3 linked regions of the Macaca mulatta genome follow. Each later gene encodes a partner of the first gene's protein in a complex. Links are inferred from orthologs where the notes say so. Each region holds a gene or a part of one and is shown in the gene's direction. Other genes may lie near its edges.

Region 1 (6,512 bases):
GAGCCAAACACAGTTTAGGGCAGAGGGTATGTCAGGTACAAGGACCTGGCCACAGGAAAAAGCTAGGAGCTCTGAAGCATGGTAATGAGATTTTTGGAAAGTGCCTTTAGTTGATTGTATGGACAAGGGCCAGATCATGAGGACCCTACAGGGCATGGTAATGAGTTTGGATTTCATTCCAAATACAAATGAGAAGATAGTGTAAGATTAAAAAGCAGATGAAGAGCATGGTCTTATTTTCTTATTTCTTAAAAGACACTTCCCTTGCTGAGTAAACGTAATGGAGGGTTCGAGGGGAGGAGAAAAGGGCAGAAGAGAATCTTGTTAAGGAGGCAGATGACAGTTGTTCAGGGAAAAGATAAGAGCCTTGGACTATGGTGATCCATCGCAGGGGAGACAAAATCAACAGGACTCCACTACACATGGAGGAATCAAAGGTTCTGGTTAGCTCCAGCATCCAGATGAGAAAGATTAAGGTGGAGATAAGATAGAGTTCCGTTTGGCATAGGTCCCATTTTGAAATGCCAGCGAGCCACCTAAGAGGAGATATCAACAGACAGCTGGCTACTCAAAATAGAGATGACCAGCAGAAGGAGCTATAGATGCAGATATTTCCTTGGGGCGGGGGGCCGGAGGGGTGGGACGCATGTAGGGGATTAGCAAGTGGAGGAACATAAAAAGGACATCAGAGCTTTCCACTACACCGGGGTGTTACTTAATAGACTAACACGACATTTAGGTTCTCATGGGTTGTGTGGGCCAGAAGCACAGTTCCAGGAACCGACTACAACATAGTGTGAGATATGATGTTTCTCTTCAAATAACCCGATCAGTCTTTTCTTCTTTAATTCATAGTACCCTCCCCTTTTTCCCTTTTTCTCCTTTTTTTCTTTTTGCCTTTGTTAAATGCCGAGGCACGCCACAATACCAGACGTTATCAATACCAGCTCACATTCCTTTCCTCATTTGAAAAGAGGACTAACTTTCTAGCTCATTACAGACATCCCTTCCCCTTTCCTCTCCGCCTTCTGTTACGTGCCCACCTTATCTAAAAAAAATCAAATGTTTAGCCAAACGGGATTAGTTTAGATTATACGACCCGACCCCAGCCAATGGGAAAAAATATACAGGGGCAGGACTTGGGTCAAAAATAAAGACTCTCCTGCCCCTTTGTTCAGGTGTGCTCTCGTGGCGACTGGCCAAAAAGGCACCCCTCTGCGCAAAAATAAAATTGCTTTGCTAAAAATCCTTTGTTCAAGTATTCAATTTCCTTAAGATTTTAAACGTTATTCATAACAATAGGCTCCTGTTACAGTATTTCCTGATGCGGCATCCCACACCTACAGCGGTCAAGTCACGCCAGGCACTGCCAAGACGCCGAAAATTTCGCCTGCAGCAGACCAGAGGTGACTGAGGGCGCGCAGGCCCCAGCGAGCGCTGCATGCTGGGATTCGTAGGCCGGGGCGGCGGACGTTTGCGCAGCTTCCTTGCGATGCGACCGCCCGCTGCGCCGCGCGGAAACCCGGAGCGCAGCGCGCCCGCGGCCTGCGTCAGTCGGTCAGTGCAGTCGTTCTAAAATCAAGGCGGACCCTGCTTTTTTGCCTGGAGTCGCTTAGAGATGATGACCAAAGGATAAATTCAGAGTCCTCCAAATGGCATCCAGTGTCCATTTCATCACGATTTGGAACCTGTAGTAGCCTATCTCTTAACACTTCCTTATTATTATTATTATTATTTTTTGAAAAAGGGCATTGCTCTGTCGCCTAGGCTGTAGTAATCCAGCGGCATAATCCCGGCTCACTGCAGCCTCGATCTCCCCTGTTCAGCGATCCTTCTGCCTCAGCCTCCTGAGTAGCTGGGACCAACAGGCACGCACCACCACACCAGGCTATTTTTTCCTCCTGTTTATTGTTGAGACGCATCGGGGAGCGGGGGGCGAAGGGGGGTCTCCCTATGTCGCCCAGGCTGGTCTCAAACTCCTGGCCTCAAGCTATCCTCATACCTCGGCCCGTTAAAGTGTTGGGATTACAGGCGTGAGCCACCGGGCCCCGACATTAATTATTCTTCAAGACTATTCTGGGCCGGGCGCGGTAGCTCACACCTGTAATCCTAGCACTTTGGGAGGCCAAGGCGGGCGGATCATCTGAGGTCCGGAGTTCGAGACCAGCCTAGCTAATATGGTGAAACCACATCTCTACTGAAAATACAAATATTAGCCGGGCGTGGTGGAACATACCTGTAATCCCAGCAACTCGGGGGCTGAAGCAGGAGAATCGCTCGAACCGGGAGGCGCAGTGAGCCGAGATCCAGCCCGGGTGACAAGAGCGAGACCCCGTCTCAAAAAAAAAAAAAAAAAAAAAAAGACTATCCTGGTCTCTGCCTCCGGGATGGCGGCTCGCTTTGGACCTCTCTTCTGTGCTTCTATTGCCCTCTCTTACAATTCTCTAATAATTATAATCATGGCGAGTGCTTACCATATATTCCGATCTATTTCCACGAGCTTATTAATTCTCATCCTAACCCTCTGAGATGGTTACTATTATTTCCTCTCTGCAGATGAGGGAATTTTGGGCTAGGGACGTTATGTAAGTTGAGCCACGCTACGCTAAAAGTTCCACGCTTAGTTCCAAAGTCTCAGCTCTGGACTACGAAATTCCGGAGCAGGCGGACAGCCCAACTCTTTAAGTTCCCGCAGGCCACGCTCCGAGGGCGGGGCTCTTGGTGAGGACACTGCATCCCATGGTGCCTTGCGCGCCAGCGCAGTCATTGGTCCGGCTACTCGGTCCCTTTTTCAAATTGAGGCGCCGAGTCGTTGCTTGGTTTCTGGGGCTTGGGGTGGAGACGAGATTGGTGATTTGGCGGCTCCGGCTGGCGCGGGATAAACGCCACGGCCAGAGTACCGGGTAGAGAGCGGGGACGCCGAGCTGCGTGCGTCGGTCCTCCAGGCCACGCCAGCGCCCGGGAGGGACCAGGGAGACTCCGGCCCCCGTCGGCCGCCAAGCCCCTCCGCGCCTCACAGCGCCCAAGTCCGCGGCCAGGCCTTGATTTTTTGGCGGGGACAGTCATGGCGTCGCAGCCAAATTCGTCTGCGAAGAAGAAAGAAGAGAAGGGGAAGAACATCCAGGTGGTGGTGAGATGCAGGTAGGGAGAGGGCTGACAGGATTCCGAGCGCCGGGGCTTCGCTGCTGGGCCCCCTAGTGCGCGGTCCAGGGAGAGGGATTTTATTTGCATTTCCTGAGGGTCCCAGTTTCTTGGTTCTCCTCTTTCTGTTCAATAAAAATGACACCCGGTTGCTTTGTGTGTCTGATTTTTAGCAGAAAATAGTATGTTTGGTTTGATCACTGTTCCATACTGAAAAGTGCGTTATTTTTAAACTATAGTCAATAAAGACTTAGGTGTCACTTATATATGCTACTTCATGTAGTTTGTCCGTTTGGAAGTAAGACTGAATACCTGTTTTGCAGATGGTTTAGCACTTACGTTGGTATTATCGCCTCTAAAAAGCAATCAACCACTGTTCTCTTTATTCTAGATGCAGTATTTTCTGCATCCCTACTAAACAAGTAAACATCTGTCTTTAAACATTAAAAATTAAGTTATAAAGTGAGTTTATGTTTTTTAAAAGATCAAGACAAGCTAAGCTAGTGTAAATTTCTGATTGTGCTACAGTTTTCCCTTTTATCTGCCTGTTTGTTCATAGACCAAATTAAATGGATATTTCGAGATAAGAAGATGTGGAGGGGTGTTCGGCCCTCCCCTGACTCGTTTCCAAATAACTTCCCAATTTTAAAATGAGCTAGAAACTGCTGTTTAGTTAGAATTGATGTATTCAACTTTTTAGAGGCTCTCCACAGTTTACTGAGTTTGTGTTTTGTGTGTCTGTTTTTGTGGCTGTTAACAGTTGCTGTTGCAACTTTTCTGTAAACCCCAAAGTAGTCTAAAATTAAAAGGCTATTTTTTTGGAAAAACCTGTTTCAACAAACTTTCTTAGGCTATTGTTTACTCAGCCCTGGTAACTTCAATTGTAGATATCAAAGGTGATGACTAGGTTTCTAAGCGAGGTGCCAGAGAGGAAATTTGGTGGCAATCTTAAATCTAGCCAGTGACACTTACCAGTTGTTGTACTCTGGGGCTTCTGTTAGTAGTTGTTCTGAAAATTTTTATTTAAAAATGCTGTGCATATAACAAGTGCAAATTTTAAACTTATTTTGGTTGTTTAATAAAACCAGGCAATATTACCTTTTCCGTATGCCTTTATTTGATTTCTTTTTTTAACATTAGTTACAAAATACTTCAGACTTACAAAAGTTATTAAGAACAATGTAATAAACATTTGTATATTCATCACCCAGATTAAGAAACAAAACAATCATTGCTGGAGCCCCCCCTTTCCCCTCTCTATCCCTTTTCCTCCAGCCACAGTTAACCATTATCTTGAACTTGATGTTTATGATCCGCATACATTTCAAGCCTTGCCTTACAGGAGATTTACTTTATCACCAATGAATATAATAGTTATTTGCTTGTGTCTAATATTTACAATAATTTTTGTGTAAAGAGATTTTTTTTTCCACATTAGCCTTTTTCTTTCAAATAGCCTTCCTGGTGCAAGTCTGTTATTAAGCTTTCGTAAATAGGCAACTTATGAGTTGCAAGGCCCTCAGGGGTTGGTAAGCCTTTTCTGAAAAGGGCCCAGAGAAATAAATATTTATTTTATTTAAATACTTTAGACTTTGCAGGTCACATGTGGTTTGTTATTTTTTTTTTTTTTTGAGACAAGGCCTTGCTGTCTCGCTCAGGCCCTAGTGCAGTGGCGCAATCTCTGCTCACTGCAACCTCCGCCTCCTAGATTCAAGCGGTTTTCCCACTTCAGCCTCTCAGGTAGCTGGGATTACAGGTGCACACCGCCATGCCTTGCTAATTTTTGTATTTTTAGTAGAGATGGGGTTTCACCATGTTGGCCAGGCTGGTCTCAAACTCCTGACCTCAGGGAATCCACCCGCCTCAGCCTCCCAAAGTGCTGGGATTATAGGCATGAGCTACTGCACCCCTCCACATGTGGTTTCTGTCACATTATTTTCTGATCTTTTTTTTTTTTTTTTAAAGAACACTTTAAAACTGTAAAAATCATTCTTAAATCTGGCAGGGCAAGGGCCAGGTTTGACTCACAGGTTAAAGTTTACAGATCCCTACATAATGCGCTACTGGCTATCTTTCTTATGCCCCTGCTATTCTGTCCCCTATTTTTTTCCCAATTTAAAAAGTCACTTTCGAATACACATAATATAAAATTTAACATCTTAACCACTTTTAAGTGTACAGTTCGGTGATATTAAATACATAATATTCTGCAACCATTACTACCATCCATCTCCATAACTCTTTTCATCATGAACAACTGAAACTCTATACACATTAAACAATAACTCCCCATTTCCCTCTCCCATCAACCCCTGACACCTACCATTCTACTGTCTATGATTTTGACTACTCTAAATACTTCATAAAATAGAGTCATAATACAGTATTTATCCTTTTGTAACTTGCTTATTCCACTTAGCATAATGTCCTCCAGGTTGGACCATGTTGTAGCAAACGTCTTCTTTTTTAAGGCTGAATAGTATTATATGTATGTATCATATTTTGCTTGTCCCTTCATATGTCAGTGGACACTTGAGTTACTTCTTAATTTTGGCTATTATGAATAAAGTTGCTATGAATATGGGTTTTCAATTCTTTTGGGTATTTACCCAGAATTATAATTGCTGGATCATATGATAATTCTATTTTAAATTTTTTGAGGAACCAACAAACTATTTTCCACAGTGGCTGGACCATTTACATTCCCACCAACAGTGCATAAGGGTTCCCATTTATCCACATCCTCACCAACATTTATTTTCTGTTTCTTTTTTTTTCGAGTAGCCATCCCATTAGGTGTGAGGTGGCATCTCATTGTAGTTTTGATTTGTGATGATTTTGAGCATCTTTTCGTGTGTTTACTGGCCATTTTGTATATCTTTGGAGAAATGTCTAAGTCCTTTGCCCATTTTTATATTGGTTTGCTTTTTTGTTGTTGAGTTTTAGGAGTTTTCTATGTATTTTGGGTATTTTCAGATATATGATCTGCAAAAAATTTTTCCCCATTACTGTGGGTTGCCTTTTTACTCATTGATACTGTGGTCTTTTCCTTTCTTTTTCTTTTTGGAACCAGCGCATGGCCTCTTTGCTGATTCTGTTTGGCCCCAGTGCAGACTGTTCTGTGCTATGTGTCTGCAGTGCTGAAACCAGGCCTACCCTGCACCATGTAGAAGTCCAGGCTGTAGATACCAATGCATGGGTCACATTTGATACCCAAATCTATGTGTTCCTGCATCTCCAAACCAGTTTCCGTATCCGAAAAGTTGCTCTTTATTGATTCACACTCCTGCATCTTTAGGCCTTTCTCCAGGGTTTCTTCTGCTTTGGCCCTTTGTGCAGTAGGTGGCAATCTTTTCATTTCTCCTGATGCC
Region 2 (5,717 bases), on another chromosome or scaffold:
GGTGCGATCTCGACTCACTGCAACCTCCACCTCCCAGGTTTAAGGGATTCTCCTGCCTCAGCCTTCTGAGTACCTGGGGTTACAGGAATGTGCCACCACACCCAGCTAATTTTTGTATTTTTAGGAGAGATGAGGTTTCACCATGTTGGCCAGGCTGGTCTCAAGCCTGATCAGGCTGACCTGACCTCAGGCAATCCACCTGCCTCAGTCTCCCAAAGTTCTGGGATTACAGGCGTGAGCCACCGCTCTGGGCCAGATGTGAACTTTTTAATGCACCTTTTTGTTCCTGCTTTTCCTCATTAGATGTTTAAAATGTTAGTATGGATAAATATTGGCTTTTGAGTTTATGCAGTTGAAACTAATTATATTTTTCTTGTAATTGTAGAGCTACTTCTCCAGAGGAGGTGCAAAGTTCATTGGAATGATTGTTAGTCCCTATAATCGAAATAATCCCTTACCATATTCTCAGATTACCTGCCTGGTTATAAGTGAGGAAATTAGCGCAGATGGCTCTTACCGTAAGTTTTCAACAAAAATAACTTTATCCTATTTCTGCTCTCATTTATTTGACTCATACAAATCAAAAGATTTGCAACTGTGCAAAAGTATTTAATGCAAGAGTTTGTGCCCTCAACTAGGGAATCATTATTTGGGTGCCACCCTAGTGCAGCCACCCTCTTCCCTTTCTTAATCTCCTGCTATATTCAAGTCCCCACTTTTGTTACCATGGCCACTGGGCAAAAGGATTGAAATATGGGGAAAAGTTATGGCCAGGCAGTGTGTATGCTAGGTACTGGAGATACTGCAGTAAACAAAACAGTCTCTGTTCTCATGAAATTTTTTTTATAAATGCAGACTGGCTTTCTCTGTGATGGTATGCAAATGAAAAAAAAAATGACCACCAACTCCCTGTCACTTCCCAGTTTAGGGGTTAACAATGACTAACTCAATTTGTATATTTCGTTGCTCCCATTGTATCTCAGGAAAGAATTTGATTGGCATAGACCATCATTTGACTTGATTCCTCCGAGGTTTATGTCCACTTGTAGTCCAGTCATTTCTGGGTGGATAGGGAATTAGTATAGCAGACTAGGAAAAGGAAGGGAGTGTGGCTAGAAAGCAAATAATCAGAGGAAACAATAGGCTAAATAACTCTAGGATATTCTGTCATTACTACCACTGCTCTAGGTCAGGTCCCCTGGACGCTGCCACTACAGTTACCCCACATTGTACTCTTTCCCATTAGATCATGAGATCTTTGAGAATAAATACTGTATTGTACCCATTTTTCTATCCAGTTTCTAGCACAAGGCCTGGCATAAAGTAGATACTAAATGAATGAATGTTTAATAATTAATTTCTCTTCATTCTTAATGATCTCACTTGGATGCCTTATATTTTATAAAGACTTACCAGCACTGCCCCTATGTTATTTAGTATTAGTTGCTCTATTTTTTATGTATCTGCAACACTTTATTCCTCCCTTCATGGTCACTTTGTCTTTTAATGCAATTTATCTATTTAGCAAGTCCTAAACAAATTGTATGCCCGAAGAGCAGGGACTATGTCTTATTTGTCTTTTTCTCCAGTAGCACCTAATAAATTGCTTTGCATCTAGGAGGTGGTCAACACTATGTGGGTTTTTATTGAGTTAATAATATTGGCATTAACTTTAGTCTGGAATGTCCATTTTGAGCATAGCACGTAATACATAATACTCTTAAGCTCAGTACAGTTTTATAAAAAGAATCGCAATTGTTCTCTCTTTAATCATTTTATAATCTCACAGACTGCTAGGTTTTGATAATGAACCTCAATTCTGGTGGTGTCCAATACAATAGCAGTACATGTGACTTTAAATGTATGTTGATTAGAATTACATGAAACTTAAAATTTAATTCATGGAATTCTACTCTGGCCAAATGAAGTAACAAGAACTTGTCTGAAACTACCAAAACACTGGACAAAGTATATAAAATAATGGTATTTAAACACAATGTTGAGCAGCAAAGGAATGCAGTTGCTAAGATATGGGAAACAAATGAAAAGAGCCCGAAATTACCCTAGCTTACTGTTTAAGAGGGTTTTCAGATATGGCACAAGAAGGAGAAACCCACCCAGAGTCAGGCAGACTCAGTTAAGGTGATGGAGATAAGGAGACCAAGACAGCTGAGTTTGTGAGACAGCGCCCCAAGAGAACAGAAAACAGAATGGAGAGTGAACTCTGGAGATTTGTAGAAGGGTATCCCTGGAGTATTTGGCAAAATACAGATCAGCACATGCATGTGAAGAAACTAGCCCAGATGGGAAAGAACCACTTGAAAGCATTAGAGGGAACTATCCATGATGCTCCCGTGAGCTACCATTGGACACAGCTGTCTTGTAAATGACTTGTCCACGCTTAACGCTGCATATTAGATCTTAATCCTGGGTCTTTTGCTTTGCCCTTAGAAATCCTCTGGTGCAAGAATTAAGGTTTTCTAGAAGCCATGGGATACCTTGTGCTACAGTACTTTTAACTCAGGTCATATCTTTATAATATCTCTAATGGTTTAATGTTTTCTTTACTTGTGACAGGGAGGAAATATATTTAGTGATTAGTTTTCTTATATTTTAGTGGATAAAAATATTCTCTATAAAAGGAAACTTTTATTGACTTTAAAAGTACCTTTTTTTAAATTAAAAAATATTCTAAAAATACCAAATAGACCTGTATATGATTTGTGTGTGTGTTTTCATGTTTTTGCATCAGCATAGATTGGAAATGCATTATTTACCTTTCTTTATTTTCATTTTCAACTTTCACTGAGAGCAGGAGTCACTCTACTGGAATCAGATCCCAGCTCTGACATTTATTGCTTATTTTACCTTGGGCAGTTTACTCTCTCATTCTCCTTTGCCATATCTGTAAAATGAGAAAAAATTACTACCTTGCTTACAGTAGGTATATGGTTGTAAGGTGTGTCAGTAATATATGTAAAGTGCTTAGAAATAATAAGTTTTCAATGGATAGTTATGATTATATAGCTGGTATCCGTATTTAGTAAGTAATCAAAGCATGTCAAGTAAGTGATCGTTATCACCAAAAGGAGTTTGCTTAGTACTCCACGTACTATAATGTGTCACTCTTTAAGTTTTTGGAGAAGAGGAAAATTGAGCAATTAAATAAAAAAGATCAGTCATCATCATCAGGCTTGCTGTCCGCTGTCCTTCTTCTAAACACCTGAAAAAATACCTTTTTAGAGCATATTGACAGTTAAGCTATGCTTTATTTCATTATGAGGAAACAGTTGTATTTTTCCCTTTTTTTTTCCATGACTTCGGATTTGCTGGCATTTTATTTATTTGAAAAGCCTTATCATGGTAGAAACCCAGTTGAGAGGCAGTATTATGTAAAAGTTAAAAGCAGAACTCTCGAGTCTTACTGCCTGGGTTCAAATCCTGCCTATGCCTTTATATCTGATTATGAGCAGGCTAACTTTTCTATGATGTAGTGTCCTCATCAAAAAAAAAAAAAAAAAAGGGCAGGGGGCTGGGCGGGAATAATGGCAGCTACTTCATTTAAGTGATTTCACATAAAGTTTTAGGTGGCACATAGTACACATTGTAAGTGTTACTATGATGGTATCAGCCTTTGGTAATGAATCAGCTGAGCTTTTAAAAAAATGCTACAGATACATTTGCATGGGGCTCTTGAAGGATATGTGAAAAATTGCTAAGATAGCTCATTGTTTCGTATTTTTTCCTTTCTAGATGAATATATGATGTCCACCCCTTGGGCTTCTTTCTTTCCTCCAGAGTTTAGTGTAACAACTTTGACTCAAAGCAGTTGCTGCCTCCCTAGAGTTCATCCTATCCTCTTGTCTAGTCTTAGATTAGCTCTTCTAGGGAGGTGGAATGAGTTTGGGCTCAGAAGTGAGGCGAACCTGCTGGGTTTTAACATCTATGTCCTGCCACTTTGCTAGCCTAAATATGTTTTTTAATGTATCTCAGCTTCAGTTTTCTCACCTGTTAAAAAAAAAAAAAAAAAGATATGGCATTGTTGTAAGCTTAATAACCTGTATATATGTGTTTTTTAAATTATCACTTGGATGGCAATGTGTCTCAGTTTGTCTAGGATAATCCTAATTTAAACCTGTGGTTCAGGCATAATTATTCATAGTACCTTCTTTCATTCAAAAAGTCTCTTGGTTTAGGTGATAAATTACATGATCATCCTATCATAGTGCCATGCATAGAGCTGTCATGTAAATGGCACTTCTACTCTTCTTTATTATTATTAATAGCTTGGCATTAATATGCTTAGTGGACCAAGTACAGTCAGGCAATAAATATTTAATGAATGCCCACTATGTTTAAAGTGCTGTTCAGCTGGTCTACGAAGCTGTGGTTGTAAAAACACTGAAGGGAATTTTAATTATAATTAAAAGGAGATTGGCGAGTTAAGAAATAGTTGATGAAAATGTGCTTCTTTATGCTTTTCTAGGCTTACCTTACAAATTTGAAGTACAGCAGATGTTAGAAGAACCTCAGTGGGGATTAGTATTTGAAAAGACAAGATGGATAATAGAAAAATACAGGCTCTCCCATAGGTATGTACTGTAGTTTGAGATGGTTGCACATCTGCAGTGTTGCTCATTAAATTATGTTTCAGAGAAAACCCAAGTTAAATATAAAATTGTGATGTATGGCATCTGTGATAGTTTATTACGAAACTGATTAGTTTATAGTATTCGTTTCATCAGTTTGTTTTCATATTTCTTCCTACAGCAGCGTCCCCATGGATAAAATCTTTCGCCGGGATTCTGACCTGACTTGTTTGCAGAAAGTAAGCTGCCTTCATTTTAATTGGTTCCATTGTTCACAGATTCTAAAGCTATTTATCTCAATGTGTTTTCCCATGATGCCTGATACTTTGTGGATAATTTTCTGTATATTTTATTACTTTTTCCTTTGGAAAATTAATTTCTAGGAGATAATTAGTAATGTGTTTTGTTGCCCAAGCTTGCACATAGAAAAAAATACTATTTTAGAATAAATTTGTCAGTGTCAGCTGATAAATTTCTTCGCAGATTATTATTGTACACAATGGAGAACATTTTTCTCATTTTATTAAATTTGAAAGTGCCATGTTTCCATTTTAGCCTTAACAATTGATCATTTTTAAGAATGATGGTATAACTCTAACAATTACATTTAAATAGTCATTTTATTTAACTTTCTAGTAGGAAATAAGAGTTTTGAATTCTATCAGTTCACTTCTAGGTTTTGCTTCTGTAATGACTGAAGGCTAGTAGATTTGTAACATTTGTCTTATTTTTTTAAATAGCAGTTGGGGATAGAAAATTTAAACGTTAAGTTTCTTTTTAATATTTTTTACTCCTCTGTTATATCCACTTTTTTTCTGTGTTGTTGAAAAAGTATATGCACATTTCCAAGGAAGTAGACTCTAACTAGCATCCTCATTTTGAAATGGTAGAATCCTATGTTTTTATGTTCATAGAGTTGTGTGTGTGTGTATGCTCAGGATTATTTTGCTTTGTAAGTGTGACTACAAATGAAGAAAAGTCACAAATATGTCCAAAGTAGAAAGTGTCACATAAACAATCTCAGGTTTGTCTCCTTATGTAAAATCATAAAGGTACTAAGCTGAGTGTTCCTCAGCAGCAATTTCCTACATTCCAGCTCTATGACTATTAAACACAAGTTAATCTTCA
Region 3 (5,717 bases), on another chromosome or scaffold:
AAGCAGTCCTCCCGCCTCGGCATCCCAAAGTGCTGGGATTACAGGCATAAGCCACCACGCCCAGCCCCAAACCAGGGAATTCTCATGAACTCCTTCCCCTCCCCTGCATCCTGTTGGCCACCAGGTCCTGTCACTTCCATCACAGAAACGCCACCTTCCCTCCCTTGCCATTCCCGCTGCTCATGCCAATCGTCACGCTCTCACCCGCTCGCTATGGAGCCCTCTCTGGTATGCCGGCCTCTTGTCCTCTTTCTCCCATGCCCTCACCTGGAACATTCCTCAAAACCACCTCTGACCACCCACGCCCATCCTCTGCTTAACCAGCCCCAGCTCAGCTTAAGCATAAGATCCTCCATTACCTAACTGACTTCCTTCCCTGGCCTTGGCTTTTGCTTCTCCCCTTACTCTCCCACACCAGTTTTGGAAAGTCCAGTGTTCCCTCCGATAACAATTCCTCCCCAGCAAGGCTTAACAAAATGAAACTTCTGGGCATCCCAGGTCAGACGTCCCTGCTTCTGTGCAGGGACTGTCCCTGCCAAGTAAGTGGCACCCCACCCCCAGCCCGTTTCCCTCCCCGAGCCCCTGCTGGATGGTCCACACAGACCGACCTGCCCCTCTTCATGCTGCATCTGCCCCCGTGCTATTAGGCCATGAGGGCAGAGACCATGTTCTGGCCATGTGCAGCAGGACCTGGCCCGGGACTGGTGCTTAGTACCTGAGTCTGGAATAGAGATGGAATGTAGTAGAAGCTGGGTATCCAGATGCTGGAACATTCAAGGAAAATTTCTCAAGCAAAGCAGGATCCAACCCAGTCCTAGAGCTAAGAGGAGGGGTGCAGGTCTGGCCAGAGGCTACTGACTTCTAGGGCTGAAACACTGAAAGGTTTCTGAATAGAGAAGCAAGTTTCAGGGAGAGGAACCTAATAAAGGGATTGAATACGTGAGGCGGGGAACAGTCCTGGGAGTTGGTGGCCTTAAGAAGGCAGAGGAAGGAGAGGAGGGAGTTGTTGTAACAAGGGGGGAGTTGTTCATTCCTGAGCTGAGCGGGCTGGCACAGAGAACAAATGAGAGTCTGGAAAGGGAAGATGCACAGTACTGAGAACCACATCAGAAGGTTCAGAAGGCACCTGCCACCCTTGCCTGGGGACTTTCCTTCCTGGGGCACTGCGGGGTCCCTGGGAGATCTCTGCATCCAAGTTTGGAGGGTGCAGTGGGAAATCCCTGCTCCCTCTGACGGCCTGGCCTGTGCCTCACAGTGTGGCGTCCAGAACTTCAAACGCCGAGAGAAGTGCTTCAAATGTGGCGTGCCCAAGTCAGGTGAGGCCCACCTACCCCTCGCACTCCCCAGGGCGGGGCAATTGGGGAGAAGGGAAGGTGAGGGGTCTGTGCTCAAGGCTTGGTATAGGGAGGAGGGTGACCAGTCATGGAGCCTCCCCCTTATCACCAGCCTGTCTCCCACCGCCCCTGACAGAGGCAGAGCAGAAGCTGCCCCTCGGCACGAGACTGGATCAGCAGACACTGCCACTGGGTGGCCGGGAGCTGAGCCAGGGCCTGCTTCCCCTGCCGCAGCCCTACCAGGCCCAGGGAGTCCTGGCCTCCCAAGCCCTGTCACAAGGCTCAGAGCCAAGCTCAGAGAACGCCAATGACAGTGAGTCAGTTGTTCCTTCTTCCTCTGTGCCCTAGGGTGTCTGGGCTGGGCTCACCAAGACCAGAGAAATGGCAGTGAGCAGGACCTCATCCTCATGGAATCTCCACTTGGTGCGGGGATAGACATTTGATGTAGGGAGAGCAGAGGGAGTGGCAACATCCTACCTGACTTTGGGGGTGTGTCGGGAAGGTTCTCAGTAGACAGGCAGCCAGCCTGGCACCTGGACCGCCAAGCAGAGTTGATCCCGGAGGAAGCAGTGAGGGAAGCGGCAGTTGCAGAGGCATGGGGGGGTGGGGGCAGAGGAAAGGGAGCGGTGGGGGGCATTGAAGGGCAGGGCTGGCAAGAGTGCCGGGGGCGTCCTCTAACACTGGGCCCCTTCCCACAGCCATCATTTTGCGCAACCTGAACCCACACAGCACCATGGATTCCATCCTGGGGGCCCTGGCACCCTACGCAGTGCTGTCCTCCTCCAACGTGCGCGTCATAAAGGACAAGCAGACCCAACTGAACCGCGGCTTTGCCTTCATCCAGCTCTCCACCATCGTGGTGAGGGCGGCACAGTTGGGGGCCGGGCAGCCAGGGTCCCGGCCCCCAGGGTGGGGAGGAGGGTCCCTTTCCCCAGCCTCCTACCGCGGCCCCCAGCCTGGAAACCGGGCAATGGAGCCGGGGGCCTCCCCGGGCCTGACCCTTCTGTCCCTGCCTCACCTCCTCCCACAGGAGGCAGCCCAGCTGCTGCAGATCCTGCAAGCCCTGCACCCACCACTCACCATCGACGGCAAGACCATCAATGTTGAGTTTGCCAAGGGTTCTAAGAGGTCAGGGCCCCACCTATGTGCCTTCCCACCCTTCCCCTCCCCACCCTCCCACTCCCCCCCACCGCTTGGGGCCTCCCATCTCACTCCCAGTCTCTAACATCCTCCTCAGGGACATGGCCTCCAATGAAGGCAGTCGCATCAGTGCTGCCTCTGTGGCCAGCACTGCCATTGCTGCGGCCCAGTGGGCCATCTCACAGGTACTCAGACCCCTTGTGCCTCCCAGCGTCCTGAGACCTGGGCTTTCTCAACCCTCCTGCACCCTCTCTGAAGCAGGAAGGCTGGCTTGCTATCCATGGATGCAAAACCCTCTCCCAGTAGCTGGCATGGCCATTCTACCTTGCTCCTGGCTCTCTAGACCCCCTGGGACATTCCCCTTCATCATCACCGTAGCTTTCTTCCCAATTGCCTCCCATGCGCTCATGTACGACGCCATTGTGCCTGGCATTCTGTTCTGTTTGGTGGGGTTTTTATTGTCCTGAATTGGTATGATATACACATATCCTTATATGTAATATATACATATATGATATACACATATCATATGTTCCCGAATAAAAATAATGTATAAGTGGTTGAGAGAAAATTGGGAGAAGAGAATAAAGAAGTGAGAAGATGGTGTCTTCCTTGGCCTGACACCCAACACACACACCACACACAGCAGAATCAGCAGAATCAGCCCTGGAACATTTTGGCGTTCGTCTGTTTTTATGTCTTGTGTTTGCCACTGGCCTATTTGTTCTCTTGTGGCCAGGCAACCCTTGCTTTCCACTTGTCTTAGGCTGCATGCTTTTCTGTCAGGTAGAAACACTAGCCCCACGTGTGGGACAGATGCTTCTAGCAGGTTCCCCACCTCCCCATCCCCACACCTTCCTGTTCTAATGAACCCCTCCCACCTGCCCTTCAGGCCTCCCAAGGTGGGGAGGGTGCCTGGGCCACCTCCGAGGAGCCGCCGGTCGACTACAGCTACTACCAACAGGATGAGGGCTATGGCAACAGCCAGGGCACAGAGTCTTCCCTCTATGCCCATGGCTACCTCAAGGGCACCAAGGGCCCTGGCATCACTGGAACCAAAGGGGACCCCACCGGAGCGGGTGAGCCCCAGCATCTCTCTCTGCAGCTGTGGTGGGGGCCAGCAGGCATAGAGTCCCCGGCCCCATTATTCACAGGCATTCTCCCTGCCCTGTCCTTCCTTACAGGTCCTGAGGCCTCCTTAGAGCCTGGGGCTGACTCTGTGTCGATGCAGGCTTTCTCTCGCGCCCAGCCTGGTGCTGCCCCTGGCATCTACCAACAATCAGCCGAGGCAAGCAGCAGCCAGGGCACTGCTGCCAACAGCCAGGTGAGTGAGCCCTGTGGGTATGTATCCCAGGGAGGCAGGCAGGTGGCAGGGGTGGCATGGGCAGACACTGAGCCCTGTTCTCCTGTCTGGCCCCATGACCAGTCGTATACCATCATGTCACCCGCTGTGCTCAAATCTGAGCTCCAGAGCCCTACCCATCCTAGTTCTGCTCTCCCACCGGCCACCAGCCCCACTGCCCAGGAATCCTACAGCCAGTACCGTGAGTACCCACAGCCTGTGGGTAGGGATGGGGAGTTCTTAATAAAGCAGGGAAGAGTGTGACCCCGCTCCCCTCACCCCCTAGCTGTTCCCGATGTCTCCACCTACCAGTACGATGAGACCTCCGGCTACTACTATGACCCCCAGACCGGCCTCTACTATGACCCCAACTCCCAGGTGATAGGGCAGCCCAGAGAGGGCAGAGAGGGATGGGGTCGGGTCAGGTCGCATCGGGGCAGCTGGCCCTGCAGGTTCCCTTCACAAGGTCTTCCCTCACATCCCTTCTTCACTCCTCCTCCCTCAGTATTACTACAATGCTCAAAGCCAGCAGTACCTGTACTGGGATGGGGAGAGGCGGACCTATGTTCCCGCCCTGGAGCAGTCGGCTGATGGGCATAAGGAGACGGGGGCACCCTCGAAGGAGGGCAAAGAGAAGAAGGAGAAGCACAAGACCAAGACAGCTCAACAGGTGAACACCAGGGTCCAGCAGTCACTGGCTGACTGTGTGGTGTCTTCCAGCAGCGGCACTCTGTCAGCTCTCGCCCTCTCCTGCCGAGGGAGATGGCAGGCAGGTGTGGATGTGGGTGGTGACTGCTTAGCAGACCATGCTCCTGCTCCAGCTCTGCTCTTTGCTGAATGGCCTTGAGCCAGAGCAGTCTCCTCAGTGCGTGACAGGGTTGCCCAACTCCAGGAGGTGGCTTGTGCCATCCGAGTAAGCCCTGTCAGGTGTCTTCTGTCCCATGGTGGGGACCCTCACATGCTGCTGGTGGATATGTATATATATGCCAGAGAAATTCTCACAGGCCCATAAAGGAGTGGGCAGGAAAAAAGCCCTGCAGTGTTTTGTGGGAGTGGGCAAATGGAGGGCACCTCAGTGTCTGTCTGTGGAGAAAGGGTGTGACACTGTGAGTGTAGCATTTACAAGCAAGCACAAAGTGTTCCCTCAGCAACCTGGTGAATTCTAAAAATGGTGCTGTGCTGGCGGGGGAAACATGGAAATATAGAATGTGGCATTGTGTCATGCATATAAATTCAAATTATACACAGATAAACATTCCTATGCATTTTAAAATGATAAAATGGAAATGCACAACAAATGTGACAGCGTGGGTATGTGTGAGGGGAAGAGGAGTGTCTTCATCCATTTGCTGCTCTATAACAATACCACAGACTGGGTAATTTATAAGGAAAAGAGATTGATTTGGCTCACAGTTCTGTAGGCAGGGAAGCCCAGTGGTGTTGGCATCTGGTGAGGGCCTTCTTGCTGCATCATAACATGCGCAAAGGGCAAGAGAGCATGCATTAGAGCAAGAGAAAATTGGGCCAAACTCCCCCTTTTTATCTGGAACCCACTCTCAGTGATGGCATTAAATGGAGACTCAAAAGGTGGAGGGGGGCCGGGAGTGGTGGTTCACACCTGTAATCCCAGCACTTTGGGAGGCCGAGGCAGGCAGATCACCTGAGGTCAGGAGTTCGAGACCAGCCTGGCCACGTGGCGAAACCCCGTCTCTACTAAAAGTACAAAAATTAGCCGGGCATGGTGGCAGGCGCCTGTAATCTCAGCTACTCAGGAAGCTGAGGCAGGAGAATCGCTTGAACCCAGGAGGCGGAGGTTGCAGTGAGCTGAGATCATGCCATTGTACTCCAGCCTGGGCGACAAAAGCGAGATTCCTTCTCGAATCATATATATATGATTCATA

The links. Proteins that work in one complex are often made in the same cells at the same time.
Region 2: KIF11 (region 1) and MYSM1 share a complex: the UniProt entries of both Homo sapiens proteins name them as parts of the large chromatin remodeling complex. The link is inferred for Macaca mulatta from reciprocal best matches to the Homo sapiens genes KIF11 and MYSM1.
Region 3: KIF11 (region 1) and RBM10 share a complex: the UniProt entries of both Homo sapiens proteins name them as parts of the large chromatin remodeling complex. The link is inferred for Macaca mulatta from reciprocal best matches to the Homo sapiens genes KIF11 and RBM10.

What each region holds. Positions count from the first base shown.
Region 1 is NC_133414.1:104,552,444-104,558,955, forward strand, and holds the start of KIF11 (kinesin-like protein KIF11), read left to right. Parts: upstream 1-2,732; 5' UTR 2,733-3,064; coding exon 3,065-3,141; intron 3,142-6,512. UniProt on the Homo sapiens protein: Motor protein required for establishing a bipolar spindle and thus contributing to chromosome congression during mitosis. Required in non-mitotic cells for transport of secretory proteins from the Golgi complex to the cell surface.
Region 2 is NC_133406.1:181,980,152-181,985,868, forward strand, and holds part of MYSM1 (deubiquitinase MYSM1), read left to right. Parts: intron 1-385; coding exon 386-518; intron 519-4,486; coding exon 4,487-4,592; intron 4,593-4,770; coding exon 4,771-4,828; intron 4,829-5,717. UniProt on the Homo sapiens protein: Metalloprotease with deubiquitinase activity that plays important regulator roles in hematopoietic stem cell function, blood cell production and immune response.
Region 3 is NC_133426.1:47,208,740-47,214,456, forward strand, and holds part of RBM10 (RNA-binding protein 10), read left to right. Parts: intron 1-1,255; coding exon 1,256-1,316; intron 1,317-1,470; coding exon 1,471-1,647; intron 1,648-2,032; coding exon 2,033-2,193; intron 2,194-2,364; coding exon 2,365-2,462; intron 2,463-2,571; coding exon 2,572-2,659; intron 2,660-3,366; coding exon 3,367-3,553; intron 3,554-3,658; coding exon 3,659-3,798; intron 3,799-3,900; coding exon 3,901-4,018; intron 4,019-4,102; coding exon 4,103-4,194; intron 4,195-4,321; coding exon 4,322-4,486; intron 4,487-5,717. UniProt on the Homo sapiens protein: Binds to ssRNA containing the consensus sequence 5'-AGGUAA-3'. May be involved in post-transcriptional processing, most probably in mRNA splicing. Binds to RNA homopolymers, with a preference for poly(G) and poly(U) and little for poly(A).